2 linked regions of the Anolis sagrei genome follow. The protein of the gene in region 1 interacts with the protein of each later gene in a biochemical or structural test. Links are inferred from orthologs where the notes say so. Each region holds a gene or a part of one and is shown on either strand. Other genes may lie near its edges. The genes, in order: REPS2 and EPN1.

Region 1 (9,829 bases):
TGGAACATAACCACACAGCCCGGAAAACTCACAGCAATCCATTTCAAGTGCGTATTAGCAGCTCTTTTAAAAACTGGGAGAAAAGAAGTGGCCAAATTATAATGGGGGCTATATTTGAACAGTACTGTATATTGCAATGAAATTATTCCTCTTAAAAGGTTAAACCAAGAACCTAGATCCATATGATGGGGGCAAAGGAAACCAGAAGTCCCAAGTTTTATGTATAGATGGATAGAGAACAAGATAGATTAAGCAATCCATCAATCTGGTTTCTAGATTTAATGTATTGTCGAAGGCTTTCATTGCCAGAATCACTGGGTTGTTGTGAGTTTTCTGGGCTGTATGGCCATGTTCCAGAAGCATTCTCTCCTAACATTTCGTCTGCATCTGTGGCAGGCATCCTCAGAGGTTGGGACATCTGTTGGAAACTAGGAAAATTGAGTTTATATATCTGTGGAATGGCCTGAGTGGGAGAAAGGTTCTTATTTTGGTCTTTTAAGAGAAATAATCTCATTGCAGTCCACAATGTAAAATACAGGTATGCTTTGTTGTTCTGCTCTTATTGTTGTTGCATATTATTTGGGGGCTTAAAATTTTGTTTCCAGCTACTAATTTTTCACATCAGGATTTTGTCTCTTCACCTGAGTTTCTTGTCCAAGAAGTTATGCAGGATGTAAAGCTGTCGTAAAGCATATAGGTTTGCAAATTTACAACCTCAAAACTTGTTTCTATAACTGAAAGAGATATGATTCTAACTTTTAGTTTAGAGATCAGTGTTTCAAACAAGGGTCTAGGAATTCTCCATAACCATTAAATAGAATGCATGAAACTTCCTAAGTTATGCATTCCAAGAGAAGAGCATGGACAATTTCTAACAGAAAAAACCCCCAACCACCTTTCTTTGCTGCCACTGTAGTAGGAAATGTTAGTGTTATAGGTTGGACACCCCTCACCCAGATTTCTGAAATCCAAATTCCCCCAAAATCCAAAATTGTACACATGGGTGGCTGAGATAGTGGCACTTTAGTATTCTGATGGATCAAGGAACCCCAGTGGCGCAATAGGTTAAACCCTTGTGCCCACAACATTGAATCCGGGGAGTGGGGTGAGCTCCCATCTGTCAACTCCAGCTTCCCATGTGGGGACATGAGAGAAGCCTCCCACAGAATGGTAAAACATCAATCATCCGGGCATCCCCTGGGCAATGTCCTTGCAGACAGCCAATTCTCTCACACCAGAAGTGACTTTGCAGTATATTCTCAATTTGCTTCTGACACGATTAAAACTATGTACACAAACCTGATTTCATGCACAAAATTATTTAAAGTACAGTATAAAATTACATTCAGGCAACATGTCTAGGCTATATTTGAAGCATAAATTAGTTTCGTATTTAGACTTGGGTTCCACTGCCTAGCTATTTCATTATGCGTGTAATCGTATATGCAAATACAGGGATTCCAAAATCCAGTAAAACCTGAAATCAAAATACTTCAGGTCCGAAGCACTTTAGAGAAGGGAGATTCAACCTGAATAGATATATTTATTTCAAAATCCGAAACCCAAACACTCCTAGTCTCATGTATTTAGGAGAAGGAGGACTCAGGGACCAATATAACCCAACAACAATATAACCCAGAATATCAAAGCAGAAAATCCCACATTATCTAAGTGTGGATTCAGATAACCCAGTTCAAAGCAGATATTGTGGGATTTCCTGCCTTGATATACTAGGATATAGGGCTGTGTGGAAGGGCCCTGAGTCCACATAACCATATATCCCAGTTCAAAGCAGAAAATATAGGGTTTATTCAGCTGTATGGGAGGGCACTCAATCTGTATGGCTATATACTCCAAAATCGGAAATCCAAAACACGTAGGGAAAAGAGAGACTCAACCAGAACATATTCCAAAAATGTGAATCCAAAACACCTTCTAGTCCCAAACATTTTGGAGAAGGGAGACTCAACTTGTAGATGTATATATTCCAAAATCCAAAACACTTCTGATTACAAGCATTTCAGAACAGGGAAACACAACTTGAATACATATATTCTAACATCCAAGATGCTTCAGGTCCAAATTATTTCAGAGATGGGAGACTCTGCCTCAGGCCTGGGCAAACTTGGGCCCTCTGGGTGTTTTGAACTTCAACTCCCACCATTCCTAACAACCTCAGGCCCTTTCCTTTCCCCCCTCAGCTGCTTAAGTGGCCGAGGGGGGAAAGGAAGGGGCCTGAGGCTGTTAGGAATGGTGGGAGTTGAAGTCCAAACACCCGGAGGGCCCAAGTTTGCCCAGGCCTGCTCTACCTTTATTGATGTTCAAAAGGTAATGAATCCCCTTTTCAAAAGAGAAAACACTCAAGGGAAGGAAAAAGGCTTTCAGAACATAGAGGGAATTCATCCAGCTTATTTATTTTCATCCAAATCTCAATTGGAGCTACTTTTTCTGTCCAAAGAGAACTCATTTAGGGCCCTTCCACGCAGCCCTATATCCTACAATATCAAGGCAGAAAATCCCACAATATCTGGTTTGAGCTGGGTTATCTGAATCCACACTCAAATAATGTGGGATTTTTCTGCCTTGATATTCTGGGATATAGGGCGGTGTGGAATGGCCCTTAGAAGGTGCCTCTCTATACACTAATGCAGTTTGACACTCCTTTCACTGCTATGGCTCAAACCTGCAGGAATCGTGGAAGTTGCAGTTGAGTGAGGGAACTCCAAGGATTCCAGAGCATTGAGCCATAGAGGTCCAAGCACCCTTCCACACAGCCCTATATCCCAGAATATCAAGACAGAAAATACCATAATATGCTTTGAACTGGGTTATCTGAGTCCACACTCAGATAATGTGGGATTTTCTGCCTTGATGTTCTGGGATACAGGGCTGTGTGGAAGGGCCCCATGTGGTACTAAGAGCCCCCGGTGGTGCAGTGGGTTAAAACCCTTGTGCAGGCAGGACTGAAGACCGAAAGGTCGCAGGTTCGAATCTGGGGAGAATGTGGATGAGCTCCCTCTGCCAACTCCAGCTCCCCATTTGGGGACATGAGAGAAGCCTCCCACAAAGATGGTAAAACATCTGGGCGTCCCCTGGGTAATGTCCTTGCAGACAGCCAATTCTCTCACACCAGAAGCGAATTGCAGTTCGTCAAGTGCTTGTCCATTATGCCCTGCCTCATGTACATAGGATGAATTGTTGGAGGCTACAGACAATGCCGTTGCTGTTGCCCGTTTTTGGTCAAAAGACATTTAGATGCCTGCACACTTTCTATTTTATCTGTTTCATACTAATTCATGCAATACGATACGAAATAAATAAATAAAGTGGCACCTGGCATGAAAAACAATTCTACAGTTTATTTATTTATTTATTTGTCACAATTTTCTCCCGCCCTTTTCAGCCCAAAGACGACTCAGGGCGGCGTACAGACTGGCAACAATTAGATGCCGAACACACATAAATACACCATTTAAAACAGGTTAAATCACGTAATAAAATTAATTTTAAAACAATTTAAAACTATTAGAATCAATGACTTCTGGGTTGAAATCCATGTCCATTTGCATCGTTAAGCCGTTCCATATTCGTTCACAATACTGGGTTTATCTGGTGTAGAACAGGCATGGGCAAACTTCAGCCCTCCCTCCAGGTGTTTTGGACTTCAACTCCCACCATCCCTAAGAGCCTCGCTTAAGGGTCTGAGGGGGGAAAGGAAGGGCCTGAGGCTGTTAGGGATGGTGGAAGTCCAAAGCACCTGGAGGGAAGGCTAACATGCGCCCATGCCTGGTGTGGATGCCCTGGGGGGGGGGGGGGGGTGCGCTCTGCACATGTCCAGGAGCACTCTTGCCTCACCTGGAGGAGGGCCTCGGGAGGGAGCTGCGACGCCCGGAACAGCTCGGCCACCTTGCTGCCGGAGGCGCCTGCCTCGGAGCCCGCGGCGTTCCCGCTGCCGCCTCCGCCGCAAAGGCAGAAGAGCTCCGCGTAGCGCTGCTGCTGCTGCTGCTCCCCGGAGGAGGAGGAGGAGGAGGAGGAGGAGGAGGGGGCCTCCATTGCAGGGGCAACGGCGCCCCCAAGTCCTGCCCAAGAGGCTCCGCCGCCGCCGCCGCCTCTGCAGCCGCGCTCGCCTCCTCTCCCTCCGCTGTCCTCCCTTTCTGCGGCAAAAACAGCGGGAGGGAGGCGGCAAGGCAGCAGCAGCAGCTGCAGGAAGAGAGAAGGAGAAGAGGAAGAGGAGGAAAAGGGGGAAGGAAGGAAGGAAGGAAGGAGGAGGGGAAGGAGGCTCCCTTCCCCGAGGCACGTGCCTCCACTTCCTCCTCCTCCTCCTCCTCCTCCTCCTCCTCCTCTTCTCCCACTTCGTCCTCCCTGGACTCCGCAGAGGAAGGCTCAAGTTTTGGAGCAGGGAAGCTTGCGTGGCTCAAAGGCTAGGGCAGGGTCTTCCACCCTTCCTCATGTTGTGGTGACCCCCCCCCCCCCAACCATCCGTAATAACATTATTTTGGTTGCTCCTTCATAACTCATTTTGCTACTGTTAGGAATCCTTATGTAAATAGCTGATCTGCAGGATGGATTTTCATAAACTAATATGCTTCCTCCTGTTGTGGTGATCCCCAACCACAACATTATTTTCCTTGCTATTTCATAACACTAATTTTGCTACTTTGATATGAATTGTAATGTAAATATCTGATATGCAGGATGGATTTTCATTTGCTGGACCAAACTGGGCACAAATACCCGATACGTCCACATTTGAATACTGGTGGGATGGGGGGGGGGGGAGGATTGATTTTGTCCTTTGGAAGTTGTAGTTGCTGGGAATTATAGTTCACCTACAATCAAAGAGCATTCTGAACACCAACAATGGAATTGAACCAAACTTGGCACGCAGAACTCTCTTGACCAACAGAAAATACTGGAAGGGCTTGGTGAGCATTGAGCTTGAGTTTTGGAGTTGTAGTTCACCTACAAGGAGCCCCCAGTGGTGCAGTGGGTTAAACCCCTGTGCTGGCAGGACTGAAGACCGACAGGTCGCAGGTTCGAATCTGGGGAGAGCGCAGATGAGCTCCCTCTATCAGCTCTAGCTCTTCATGCGGGGACATGAGAGCAGTCTCCCACAAGGATGGTAAAAACATCAAAACATCCGGCATCCCCTGGGCAATGGCTAATTCTTTCACACCAGAAACGACTTGCACTTTCTCAAGTCGCTCCTGACACGACAAAAAAAAAAAGTTCACCTACACACTGTATAATCCAACAATGATGGATCTGGACCAAACTTGACACAAATACTCAATAATATGCCCAAATCTGAACACTGATGGAGTTTGGAGGAAATAGACCTTGCCATTTGGGAGCTGTAATTGCTGGGATTTATAGTTCACCTACAATCAAAGAGCATTCTGAACCCCACCAATAATGGAATTGAAACAAACTTGGCACTCAGAACTCCCTTGACCAACAGAAAATACTGGAAGGGTTTGCTGGGCATTGAGCTTGAGTTCTGGAGTTGTAGTTCACCTACATCCAGAAAACACTGTGGACTCCAGCAATGATGGACCAAACTTGGCACAAATACTCAATATGCCCAAATGTGAACAATGGTCGAGTTTGCTGTAAATAGATCTTAACATTTGGGAGTTGTAGTTGCTGGGATTTATAGTTCACCTACAGTCAAAGAGCATTCTGAATCCTACCAACGATAGCATTGAGTTAAACTTCCCACACAGAATCCCCATGTCTTGAAGGGACTCACTGGTGTGAGCCTCCCTCCAGCCTCACACGCTCTCCCTCATCCACACATGTGCACCAAGCTGCCATTGAGAATGTCTGCTGTTCCCTCCCCACTTGGAGTCTTAGTAACAGCCCTCCCCTTGGCTGAGAGGCCTTGAAGGGACACACTGGCACAAGCCTCCCTCCAGACTCACATGCTCCATTGCCTGCATATGTGTGCCACACAGCCATGCACCAGGCACGCCTGCTCTCCCCTCCCCCCCCCCCTTGGAGTCTCAGAAACAGCCCTCTCCTTGACTAAGAGGCTGCCTGAGAGGCCAGCCAATCACAGGGGAGGAGAGTTTTTGGTGGGAGGATTTGCCATCTGTTTTCCAAAAAGGAAGAGAAGGACACTGGAGAGATCTTCATCTTTCACTGCCAAAAGGGTTCCTAAGGCCATCAGAAATATATGTTTTATGATGGTCTTTGGTGATCCCTCTGAAACCCCCTTGGGACCCCTAGGTTGAGAAACGCTGGGCTGGGGAATCCTGAGAAGGCGAAAAGACGGGTGCATCTGCACTCTAGAATGAAGACAGCTTGATAGCACTTTTAACTTCTATGGCTCCCCATGGAGACCCAAGAGTTGCAGCTTTGGTGGGGCGCTATGTGGCAGGAAAGGCTAAAGAGTTGGTTAAATGACAGCTCCCACAATTTAGTTGTATTGAGCCATGCTAGTTTGGCATCAAAGTGCAGTAATTCTACAATCTAGATGCAGCACGTTTGTTCCGGCAAACTTGGGCCCTCTAGGTGTTTTGGACTCCAATTCCCACAATTCCTAATAGCCCCAGGTGATATAGTATTATCTAAAGCAGTAGTTCTCAACCCGTGGGTCCCCAGGTATTTTGGCTTACAACTCCCAGAAATCCCAGTCAGTTTACCAGCTGTTGGGGATTTTTGGGAGTTGAAGGCCAAAACATCTGGGGATCCACAGGTTGAGAACCACTGGTATAGACTGAGGGAATCCCTTTCCCCTGGCTCCTGAATGACAGATGGAATGTGTCTATTGGTTATCTTCTCCCTCTTTCTGCTCTCATTCTGATTGGCTATGTAGAATGGATACTTTACAGGTGCATGCCTTTGTTTCATACTTCTGCTTTTTTACATCTGTGTATTGACACCTTTCTCTGCTTGGGTGTGTCAGGAGAGATGTAGTACTTGGAGATTTCCCCCTCTCTTGTGAACCCTAGAAAAGATGGAGTGGCTGAGACCCAGTTATTTACTATTAAAAATGTAGTTATTATTTTTGTAAATAAAACTTGTGTAACTTTAAAAATTGAACTCTGCAACTTTGAATCCTAAACACTAAATTCTTTTCTGACTACAACACTTCACACTCTGTCTGCTGTGAGCTGAATGCTCAAACTATAAGTATCATGTTTGTAGTTTTGAATGCTCTGCTGTATTTTTGGGAGTTGTCCCTAACAACTAGAAGGCACATACATTATGACCCACCATCTATGCAGGGGATATGTTCCTAGACTTCATTTCAATACATGAAACTGTGGATATTAACAAACGCCATTGTTTTTAATGGGACGAATGAAGGTTATACTGAGAAGAGGGTGTAGCTTGTATAGGAGCTCAAAGAGGGTCTGTGATTCTAAGTTAATAATGGAATGATAGGTTCTGAAAATATGGTGTTGTACATACACACAGAGAGAGAGATTTCAGAAATCTGGCATGAGGCATGCACCAAACCCATTATAGTACAGTATCCATGGGGGATATGTTCCCAGTGTGTATGGATATGCAAAACAGCAGATAATAGCAAACCCTATTAAAATAAAGGACTCAAGAATACTATAGAGTCGTAGGACCTAGAAAATGTCTAGAATTTACATTTTCTTGCACAGTGATCCAACAGATATGAAGGTCATACTGTCTTTGCTTTAGATCAACCTGTTTGGAAGGTTATTCAATTCACACACAAATCTACATCTCAATTTGGAAATCCAAAGAAATGGATTTAGACACAAGAAATGGGTGTAATTTTTTTTTTCTTCGTGGTCTCTGCGAATTCACACTTGTGGAGAGACTGCGCCTGCGCGGGCTCCAACGGAAACTTCTACATTTTAAAACTTTCAAGTTTTGGCGGTAACCCCGCCCAGCCCCGGCAGGGGATAAAAGGGCGCCCCGCGCACACCGATCCAATTCCTGTTTTTCCGCCGCACGGCTCGCTTCGGAACTTCGTTGGATAGAGATTCTCAGATTTCTTCGAGTTGTTTGACTATATTATGTCAACAACTCGCTTTAAAAGATGTGTGAATTGCCCGAGGAAGATTCCTGATTCGGACAAGCACACTCTTTGTCTTTTGTGTCTCGGCGAGGCACATATCACTTCTTCGTGTCGTCATTGTCAATCTTTGACGGCACAGTCCCGAAAAAATCGGGTCCATCGGCTTCGATACCTGCTCTACCAGCAGACGTTGGCTCCGGTACCTTCAACATCGACATCGGCGTCGACGTCGGCCGCGGTATCCAGGCCTTCAACTTCGACTTCGGGCTCGAAGTCGAAGGTAGCATCGACATCAAAATCTGTCGATCCCTCGGCGGACGCCGAGCCCCGCCAGACCAGGGAGAAGAAGGCTGCGCAAAAGAGGCCGAGAGCAGCTATGTCGACAACCTCCAAGGCCTCGGTGTCGGTAGCTTCTAAGGCGGCAAAGCCTACAAAGCAGAAGGCTCCATGCACAGTCACAACCGAGACTGTACGCATCCGGCACTCTTCGGCCAGCTCTGTGGCATCAGTGAGATCGATCAGGTCCACGAGGTCGACATCAGCGACTCCGCCATCTTCCACGGCGGTTCGCATTGCCTTTCGCCGGTCTCAAGAGGAGTCTCGGCGTGCTTCCTCTTCCTCCTCCGTCCCACCCACTCCGGGCAAGTCGGTGTCGAAGACGGCTCAACCACCGGCCAAGAAGAAGAAGACGATGCCGCCTCCATCCTCGTCTTCTTCTTCTTCCCGAAAACAGACCACCGCCTCCTCGGCCACCTCGTCGGCGAGATCGTCGCCCGTGCGACCGGTTGCTTCCCAACCGACCCCTCAGCCTACCCAGGAGCCGCAGCCGCTACCAGAACTGCCGTCAGAACAGCCTGACTCCCCGGTGATCTCGGTGGACACGGTGATCGAGGCACCAACTCGACATGTGACAGCCAGACAGGAGCTTTTCCCATCGGTCACGACTTTGACAACTGTGACGGCAAGACAGGAGACTTCTCCAGTGCTGGAGACTCCGGAAAGGGGCAGACAGACTATGAGACTGGCCTTGGCCCGTGCCACTCAGGCTTCGGCCTCAAAAGCCCCTCCAGCGATCCTGGTCCAGCATTCGAGTCGGGATGTCTCTTCATCCCCTCCCCCTCAATCCCTGGTGGCTGATGATGAGGAAGAAGATGGCGAGTTGCCGGGATCGGTACACTCGGGGTCTGTGTTGTCTCTCGGGATCGAGAGATCACCCACTCACGACGCCTATGAGGCTGACCCTCCTTCTCCCACTGACAATGTCCGAGCCTTTGCAGATCAAATGGCTCGTATGGCTGATGCCTTAGGCCTTGAGGTCAAGCAGACTTCCAAGGCAGTGCAAGACCCAGTGTTTAAAAGGGTGCAAGCTGAAACCCCACCCGCTCCTCTGCTGCCCTTCCTTCCATATCTCCTCGAGGTGATCCAGGGCTCCTGGAAGACCCCTTCTTCCATCCCTCCAACCTCCAAGAAAATCGAATCCTGGTACAGGACGGACGATGAGGGATTGGAGTGGCTGAAACACCATCCCGACCCTAACTCGGTGGTCATGAAAGCAGCCCAGGGATTCGGAAGGCAGTCGTCGGCGCCGTCCGACCGTGAGGGCAAAAGGTTCGATGCGGTGGGCAGAAAACTGTACTCCGGTGCCCTCCTGCTGGCCCGCATGGCAAATTATGGCGCTTGCATGGGCGCATACCAACAGATTCTTTGGGAGAAGGCAACACCACTCTTCCAAAGAATGTCTGAGGAGGACCGTTCTGCCCTCTCCACTTTGGCTCAGGAGGCGAACTCTCTGGCGCATCACCAGATGCAAATGGCCAAACACAC
Region 2 (9,086 bases), on another chromosome or scaffold:
CCACCAGGGGGCACAGGACTATGTTTATTCAGAATACACAAATAAAACATAATTCAATTGAATTATATTGTATCACCCATTGTAGCTTCAAAGGCATGCTCAAAACTGGGGGCAAATCATACCACAACATAGAACCCTAGAAAATTGTGCAAAAAAGAATTGTAGCATTCACGTGGCAGTACTGGCCCTTATCCATGACTAGAGCAGCAACAGCAGAAACCTATGCATATTACAACCATCAATTGCTTTGCCTTGTTTATTTAGGCCAGAATTCTGTTGGCGCACTGCACTAACATAATAGTTTGTTTTGCTATTACTTGCACCTTCTACCCGTTCTAATAATGATTAGGAGAAAGTGACTAATGTTCCTGAGCTGCCTTTCAGGGAGATCTCCAGAGTGATCTCTGAAACAGTGCCAGTTTGTGAGCCACCAGCGGCTATTCCTTTCCAGAAAATAAAGGAATAACTTTAACTAATAGCCACAATTGTGGTACCAGTCTGGCACTATGGATGACAAAACAACTGCCCATCATCCACACTGGCATAGAAAGGTGGTGTAGCACTGGTGTAGAAAGTTGGCTGTCCCAAAATAAAACATTGTTCCTAAGGCCACTGCTGTCAACTTTGATGTCTTCCCATTTACTGCCACTCCTTTCTCAAATCCTGGCTGGTGTCTTTGCCTTTGCTAACAGCAATTTGGATTTGGTTTGCATAATTCATCTTTCCTTGCAGAATTTTTGGTTCCTTTACTACTGAATCCCAACTTCTTTACCAAAGTACATGAAGTCCTACCAGTATAATTTGCTTGGGGATTAAAAAAAAAAACGCTGCCTTGTCTAAGGGTGATGATCTTTGAAGAATTTATCTTGTAGCTTGATTCTGGGTGCATTTACTTGCATTTTAAGGCCTATTGTGATTAATGAGGTATAATGCTAAGTAAATATATGTAGGATTGCAGCCTAAAACTTGACACTTGGCCCAGAAAGAGCTGGTCTAAAAGCTTTTAATATATCTCCAGAATACATGGAAGCTGTCTGAGTAAAGCTAGAAAGTAGGATATCTTTCAAACAGCTTGAAGGAGAGTGTTCAAAAATGGTTATGTCTAACATTATCATCCTGAAGTAACGCACATTAGCTCCAAAATACGCAAGCCTGTTTTAAGTTGTTAATGGAATTTATGTCGCTGCTATTTTTGCTTTTTAGTGCCTTACCTCAACTTAGACTTTCTTTTAGGCATACACATAATGGATGCAGGGCTATGGGAAAGTCCCTTGTCTTCTAAGTATATTTTTTATGTACATGACAAAGATACTAAAATTTTCAGTGGGCAAATTCAGCTCAATGGATTTTACAGTTACCAAAGTAAGTCTTTCTGCTACAAGGAAAGCCATGTGAGGCTATTGCTTTAATTGTGCTTGAAATGAAGTATTTCCACAGATTATATGTTTATGGCGGGGGGATCAAAAACAAGAATTCAGAATGGAGAGCTGGCTGGAAACCAGTAAATTATATTACTTATGGGGATTTTTCTCCATATAAGACTATTGCCTTTGAAGTAACATTACAGTCAAGTTACAGTATTAAAGTTCCTAAAGCCATGAAATAAACACTGAGCTAGCTATCAGCTTGTCTGGACAGAAAATCCTTTACTTTCATTAACAGAAAATACTTTGGGTTGTGTGATGTATTTATTACATATTCCTCAAAATTAAGTTCAGAACACATGGTTCCCTTTTTGCTCCTTTCCCAATTTTGACCTCACTGCAATGCAGTAAGATAGATTGAGGTAAAATAACAAGTCTCTTACAGCACTAATTCATTTTGAGATTCCCAAAACATTCAGGTGGCTACAGAATCTGTACATCACTGATGCACACCTCTGGAAAAGGTATAACATGTTGCTCAGATGATCCATTGGAACTTGTGTCACAAATACTGTACCATCTACCTGTGACAATGAACTGGTGGGATCGCAAGCCTGAAAAGGTTACAGAAAATGAACATGTCAAATTACTCGGAGACTTCCAAATTCAGACTGAGTTTTGGAGCACAATACCCCTGACCTCATGATTGTGTAATATATATGAAAACACAGTAAATTAGTTTTAAAATAAATTAATGAAAAGCACGAAACAATCGAGAGCCTGTCCATAGTCCATTTTCCATAACATTATTACCATTGTCAATTATCTGCCAGTTGCCCAAAGGCCTGCTCCCATAATCAGGTTTTCAATTTCCTCCTAAAGGTGAGGAGGGATGTTGTTGACCTGATCAAATAGCCAACAATGTGATGTGGCGGCAAAAAAGGCCAAAGGGATTTTGGCCTGCATCAATAGGAGTGTAGTGTCTAGATCTAGGGAAGTCATGCTACCCCTCTATTCTGCCTTGGTTAGTCCACACCTGGAATATTGCGTCCAATTCTGGGCACCACAATTCAAGAGATATTGACAAGCTGGAATGCGTCCAGAGGAGGGTGACTAAAATGATCAAGCGTCTGGAAAACAAGCCCTGTGAGGAGCGTCTTAAGGAGCTGGGCATGTTTAGCCTGAAGAAGAGAAGGCTGAGAGGAGATGTCATAGCCATGTATAAATATGTGAAAGGAAGTCACAGGGAGGAGGGAGTAAGCTTGTTTTCTGCTGTCTTGGAGACTAGTATGCGGAACAATGGCTTCAAACTACAAGAAAGGAGATTCCATCTGAACATAAGGAAAAACTTCCTGACTCTGAGAGCCGTTCAACAGTGGAACTTTCTGCCCCGGAGGGTGGTGGAGGCTCCTTCTTTGGAAGGTTTTAAACAGAGGCTGGATGGCCATCTGTCAGGGGTGCTTTGAATGCAATATTCCTGCTTCTTGGCAGGGGGTTGGACTGAATGGCCCATGAGGTCTCTTCTAACTCTATGATTCTATGAAATACAAAAGCCAGCATAGTGATCTTGTTTGCTGTATACTAATCTTGTTATGCATCAAATAATCATAATAATAATAACAAAAACAACAATAATAAATGCTTGGGAAGTGTTCGACTTGTGATTTTGTGATACGAAATCCAGCATATATATCTCGTTTGCTGTTTCATAGTGTTTTTGTGTCAGTAAAACAATAATCATAATGTATTGTCGAAGGCTTTCATGGCCGGAATCACTGGGTTGTTGTAGGTTTTTTCGGGCTATATGACCATGTTCTAGAGGCATTTTCTCCTGACATTTTGCCTGCATCTATGGCAAGCATCCAGTCTGTTGGAACTAGGAAAATTGGGTTTATATATCTGTGGAAAGGATCTAAACATCAAAAAAACCAAGATTATGGCAACAATAATGATTGACAACTGGAAAATAGAGGGAGAAAACGTGGAGGCCGTGACAGACTGTATTTCTAGGTGCAAAGATTACTGCAGATGCAGACTGTGGCCAGGAAATCAGAAGACGCTTACTTCTTGGGAGGAGAGCAATGTCCATTCTCGATAAAATAGTAAAGAGTAGAGACATCACACTGGCAACAAAGATCTGCCTAGTCAAAGCCATAGTATTCCCTGTAGTCACCTACGGATGTGAGAGCTGGACCTTAGGGAAGGCTGAGCGAAGGAAGATCGATGCTTTTGAGCTGTGGTGTTGGAGGAAAGTTCTGAGAGTGCCTTGGACTGCGAGAAGATCCAACCAGTCCATGCTCCAGGAAATAGGGCCTGACTGCTCATTGGAAGGAAGGAGACTAGAGACAAAGTTGAAGCCACATCATGAGGAGACAGCAAAGCCTAGAGAAGACAATTATGCTGGGGAAAGTGGAAGGTAAAAGGAAGAGGGGCTGACCAAGGGCAAGATAGATGGATGGCATCCTTGAAGTGACTGGACTGACCTTGAAGGAGCTGGGTGTGGTGACGGCCGACAGGGAGCTCTGGCGTGGGCTGGTCCGTGAGGTCACGAAGAGTCGGAGACGACTGAATGAACAACAACAAATATCTGTGGAATGACCAGGATGGGACAAAGGACTATTGTCTGCTGGAGCTAGGTGTGAATGTTTCAACTGACCACCTTGATTAGCAATTTGATGGCCTGGCAGTTTTTTGGTTCACCTCACTACCTTTGAGGATGCTTGCCATAGATGCAGGCGAAACGTCAGGAGAAAATGCCTCTAGAACATGGCCATATAGTCTGCAAAAACCTACAACAACCCAATAATCATAATAGTAGTAGTAGTAGTACAAATCATCGTCCTGCAGCAGTGGTGCAATGAAAGCTCTTAGGAATTGTGGGAGTTGAAGTCCAAAACACCTGGAGGGCCCAAGCTTGCCCATGAACATGAGGAAGAACTTCCTGACTGTGAGAGCCGTTCAGCAGTGGAACTCTCTGCCCCGGAGTGTGGTGGAGGCTCCTTCTTTGGAAGCTTTGAAACAGAGGCTGGATGGCCATCTGTCAGGGATGATTTGAATGCAATATTCCTGCTTCTTGGCAGAATGGGGTTGGACTGGATGGCCCATGAGGTCTCTTCCAACTTGAAAAGAGATTCCATCTGAACATGAGGAAGAACTTCCTGACTGTGGGAGCCGTTCAGCAGTGGAACTCTCTGCCTCGGAGTGTGGTGGAGGCTCCTTCTTTAGAAGCTTTTCAACAGAGGCTGGATGGCCATCTGTCAGGGGTGATTTGAATGCAATATTCCTGCTTCTTGGCAGGGGGTTGGACTGGATGGCCCATGAGGTCTCTTCCAACTCTTTGATTCTATGCCTGATCTAGATGATCCGCCTCCTTTCTGTTCCTCTCATTTTCCTCCTCACTTCTTTGATTCCATCACCATTCCCCTTTAACAGTGGCTCCTTCCACCCTTCAGCGTTTGAGGACTTCAACTCCCAGAAGCCCCAGCCCTTTTGGCAAGTACCAGGAACTCTGGGAGCTGGAGTCCGAAACGCAATAGGAGGGCAGCCACCGCTCTCAAGACGACCTCTCTCTTTTTCTCTCTATGGCCGAACAGAGCGGTCGCCCCGAGAAGGGTGCGGGCGGAAATGGGCGCAACCTGGAGGCGGAAGTTGCGGGCGCCTCTGGCTTCCGGTTCCGTCCTGCGGGGAAAGCTCTGCCGGCGCGACCGCCGCATCCAGCCGCCTCCGCTACCCTCCGGGAAGGCCATAGAGTGAGGGCGGGCAGAGCGGCGCTTCCTGTACCGAGAGCCCCCCCCCCTTCTCTTCCTGCCCCCGCATTGCCAAGGCGACGGAGAAGGCCGGGGCGGAGTTCTCCTCAAGGCCGAGGCTCCCCTGAAGGGACGGAGCGGGACTCGCCTCTCCTCTCGCCTGCTGCTTGCCTTCTCCGCCTGGAATCCTCTTCTTTCCCTGACCTTTGCCCTTAAGGCCTCACCCTGGAGCGACCTCTGACTTCCCAGTCTCTCTTTTGATTCTATGATTCCTGCCACCTTTGAACTCAGCCTCTCCCCCTTCCATGCCCTTAATTCCTTTCCAAGGCAACCTATCACCCCTCTGTTTTCTCTCCCCTGAATGTCTTATTGGCCCTTAATTTCCTTTCCTCTTCATCCCCCTCAAAGACATATTGGATCCCTCTATCCTTCTGGTTTCTCTCCCAGATTCCACTCCTGAATATCTTTTAGCAGTTCCACATCCTCATCAAGGCCTAGCCGTGCCCTATTCGTTTTGCCAAGATTCCCACGCTTTTCCCCAAGAAGCTCTGGCGATGCCCCCTGGTTGGGGGAAGCAGGGAGGCTGAGGCAGAAGAGAGGAGGCCACCCTGCCAGAAAAGGGGCACCGAGATCCCATTATCCAGGTGAGTGGGGTTTGAAACGAATGGGGAAAGATGTGGGAGGGAATCATACCACAGGCCGGAGCTTTCCAAGCTGTGTGTTGCGACACATTACTCTGCTGTGTGAACATAACAAGAAATGACCACAATCTGGGAAATAGTAATACATTTTATTTACTACTAGCCGTCCCCTGCCCCGCGTTGCTGTGGCCCAGTCTGGTGATCTGGAAAATAAATTAATGAGAAAGTGTTGGTTTCTCATTACTGCCGGTTCAATTCCGAGCACAATTCAGGGTGCTGGTTTTGACCTACAAAACCCTTTACGGTTCCGGTCCAGTCTATCTGTCCGAACGTATCTCCCTCTACGTCCCACCCCGGAATTTGAGATCATCTGGGGAGGCCCTGCTCTCTACCCCACCGCTATCCCAAGTGAGGCTGGTGGGGCTGGTGGGGGCGAGGAGCAGGGCCTTCTCAGTGGTGGCCCCTCACCTGTGGAACTCACTCCCGGGGGAAATTAGGGCATCAACATCCCTCCTCTTCTTCAGGAGGAAGGTAAAGACGTGGTTGTGGGACCAGGCCTTTGGGCAATCTGACAATTAGATATGGACAGCCAGATGGATAGGACTGATAGGACTGACAATTGTGGAATTGGAATTTGAACTATGAGATTGTGAAACGCTGACCGTCAATGAGGTTTGTATTGGTTTTATTGCTTTTATTGGTTTTATGGTTGTTTTTGCCTATAATAACTATTGTTTTCTGTTAATTGTTGTTATTGCCAGGATTGCTGTTTCTGTTAACTGATATTATTGTCTTTTGCTGTTATGTGATGCGGGCATCGAATTGTGCCTTGCTTTTGTAAGCCGCCCTGAGTGTCCCCCCCCCCCCCCCCCGGTGAGAAGGGCGGGGTAGAAGCAACAGAAATAAATAAATAAATTCTAATATATGTAATTTCTTTATGGCTCTTTGTCAGGAGGGCTTTGACTACATTTTCTTGCCCTGGTGAAGAGAGTTGGACTGGATGGCCTTAAGTATTTTCTGTTGGTCATGGGGGTTCTGTGTGGGAAATTTCATAGAATCATAGAATCAAAGAGTTGGAAAAGACCTCATGGGCCATCCAGTCCAACCCCCTGCCAAGAAGCAGGAATATTGCATTCAAATCACCCCTGACAGATGGCCATCCAGCCTCTGTTTAAAAGCTTCCAAAGAAGGAGCCTCCACCACACTCCGGGGCAGAGAGTTCCACTGCTGAACGGCTCTCACAGTCAGGAAGTTCTTCGTCATGTTCAGATGGAATCTCCTTTCTTGTAGTTTGAAGCCATTGTTTCGTGTCCTAGTCTCCAAGGAAGCAGAAAACAAGCTTGCTCCTTCCTCCCTGTGGCTTCCTCTCACATATTTATACATGGCTATCATGTCTCCTCTCAGCCTTCTCTTCTCCAGGCTAAACATGCCCAGCTCCTTAAGCTGCTCCTCATAGGGCTTGTTCTCCAGACCCTTGATCATTTTAGTCGCCCTCCTCTGGACACATTCCAGCTTGTCAATATCTCTCTTGAATTGTGGTGCCCAGAATTGGACACAATATTCCAGGTGTGGTCTAACCAAAGCGGAATAGAGGGGTAGCATGACTTCCCTAGATCTAGACACTATGCTCCTATTGATGCAGGCTAAAATCCCATTGGCTTTTTTTGCCGCGACATCACATTGTTGGCTCATGTTTAACTTGTTGTCCACGAGGACTCCAAGATCTTTTTCACACGTACTGCTCTCAAGCCAGGCATCCCCAATTCTGTATCTTTGCATTTGCCCCAATTCTTTCATTTGTGGGGTTCAGAATGCTCTTAGATTGTAGGTGAACTATAAATCCCAGTAACTACAAATCCCAAATGTCAAGGTCTATTTCCCCCAAACTCCCATCTGTGCTCATATTTGGGCATATGGAATATTTGTGCCAAGTTTGGTCCAGTTCCATCATTGTTTGAGTCCATAGTGCTACAATAGGTGAACTGCATAGGTGAACTACAACTCCCAAACTCAAGGTCAATGCCCACCAAACCCTTCCAGTATTTCCTGTTGGTAATGGGAGTTCTATGTGCTAAGTTTGGTTCAATTCCATCACTGGGGAAGTTCAGAATGCTCTTTGATTGTAGGTGAACTATAAATCCCAGCAACTACAACTCCCAAATGACAAAATCAAACATTTTTGAGTGAAGGACATACATTGGGTTGTTAGGTCTATGCTGTCCAAATTTGGTGTCAATTGGCCCACTGGTTTTTGAGTTCTGTTAATCCCACAAATGAACATTACATTTTTATTTATATAGATCAGGAGCCCCTGGTGGCACAGTGGGTTAAACCCTTGTACTGGCAGGACTGCTGACTTACAGGTCAGTGGTTTGAATCTGGGAAGAGCGGGTTGAGCTCTCTCTGTTAACTCCAGCTCCCTATGCGGCGACATGAGAGAAGCCCCCCACAGGATGGTAAAACATCAAAACATCCAGGAATTCTCTGGGCAATGTCCTTGCAGATTTATTATTATTATTTTATTATTTACAACATTTCTACCCTGCCCTTCTCAACCCCCGAGGGGGGACTCAGAACTGCTAACACTGGCAACAATTCGATGCCACAATATCACAATGAACAACAATATATAAATCATAAATATACAATAAAACTTTAAAAAATAACATTAGTTATACAATCATATAGCCATTTCCATTGTTATAACAATCATCTGGTCCAGTTCAATGTCCAAGTGCCATTATGTCTGTTAGCCCATGGCCTGGTTCCACAACCACGATTTCAGCTCTTTCCTAAAGGAAAGGAAGGAGGACGCCAATCTAATCTCGCTGAGGACCGAGCTCCACAAGTGGCGGGTCACCATCGAGAAGGCCCTGTCCCTCGTCCCCACCAGACGCGTTTGTGAGGCTGGTGGGACCAAGAGCATATGGCCAATTCTCTCACATCAGAAGCGACTTGCAGTTTCTCAAGTCTTTCCTGACGTGAAAAAAAATCTCTCTTAGATTCAAAAGTGTTGAACAGTGGTAAAAATTCAATGTGCCATTTGAAACTTAAGTAGAATTAAAGCTAGAACTCTCTAAACATGAATAATCAAAACCTATCTAAAATACATTTAGAAGATAGAAAGTCAGTACTGTAAAAACCAAATGAATTGGCTGTAGTGTCAGTTTCGTTTGAAAACAGAGGAATGACAAAGGAGAATGGTATTGCATGAGGGTATGTGATGATTAAGGGGACATGAGAGAAGCCTCCCACAAGGATGGTAAAATATCAAACATCCGGCCATCCTCTGGGCAACGTCCTTGCAGACAGCCAATTCTCTCACACCAGAAGCG

Evidence for each region.
Region 2: the proteins of REPS2 (region 1) and EPN1 form a complex in vitro, tested with the Homo sapiens proteins (3 studies listed by BioGRID and IntAct, with this or other methods). The link is inferred for Anolis sagrei from reciprocal best matches to the Homo sapiens genes REPS2 and EPN1.

What each region holds. Positions count from the first base shown.
Region 1 is NC_090023.1:90,114,889-90,124,717, forward strand, and holds the start of REPS2 (ralBP1-associated Eps domain-containing protein 2), read right to left. Parts: upstream 4,302-9,829; 5' UTR 4,054-4,301; coding exon 3,856-4,053; intron 1-3,855. UniProt on the Homo sapiens protein: Involved in ligand-dependent receptor mediated endocytosis of the EGF and insulin receptors as part of the Ral signaling pathway. By controlling growth factor receptors endocytosis may regulate cell survival.
Region 2 is NC_090026.1:17,904,452-17,913,537, forward strand, and holds the start of EPN1 (epsin-1), read left to right. Parts: upstream 1-5,014; 5' UTR 5,015-5,754; intron 5,755-9,086. UniProt on the Homo sapiens protein: Binds to membranes enriched in phosphatidylinositol 4,5-bisphosphate (PtdIns(4,5)P2). Modifies membrane curvature and facilitates the formation of clathrin-coated invaginations. Regulates receptor-mediated endocytosis.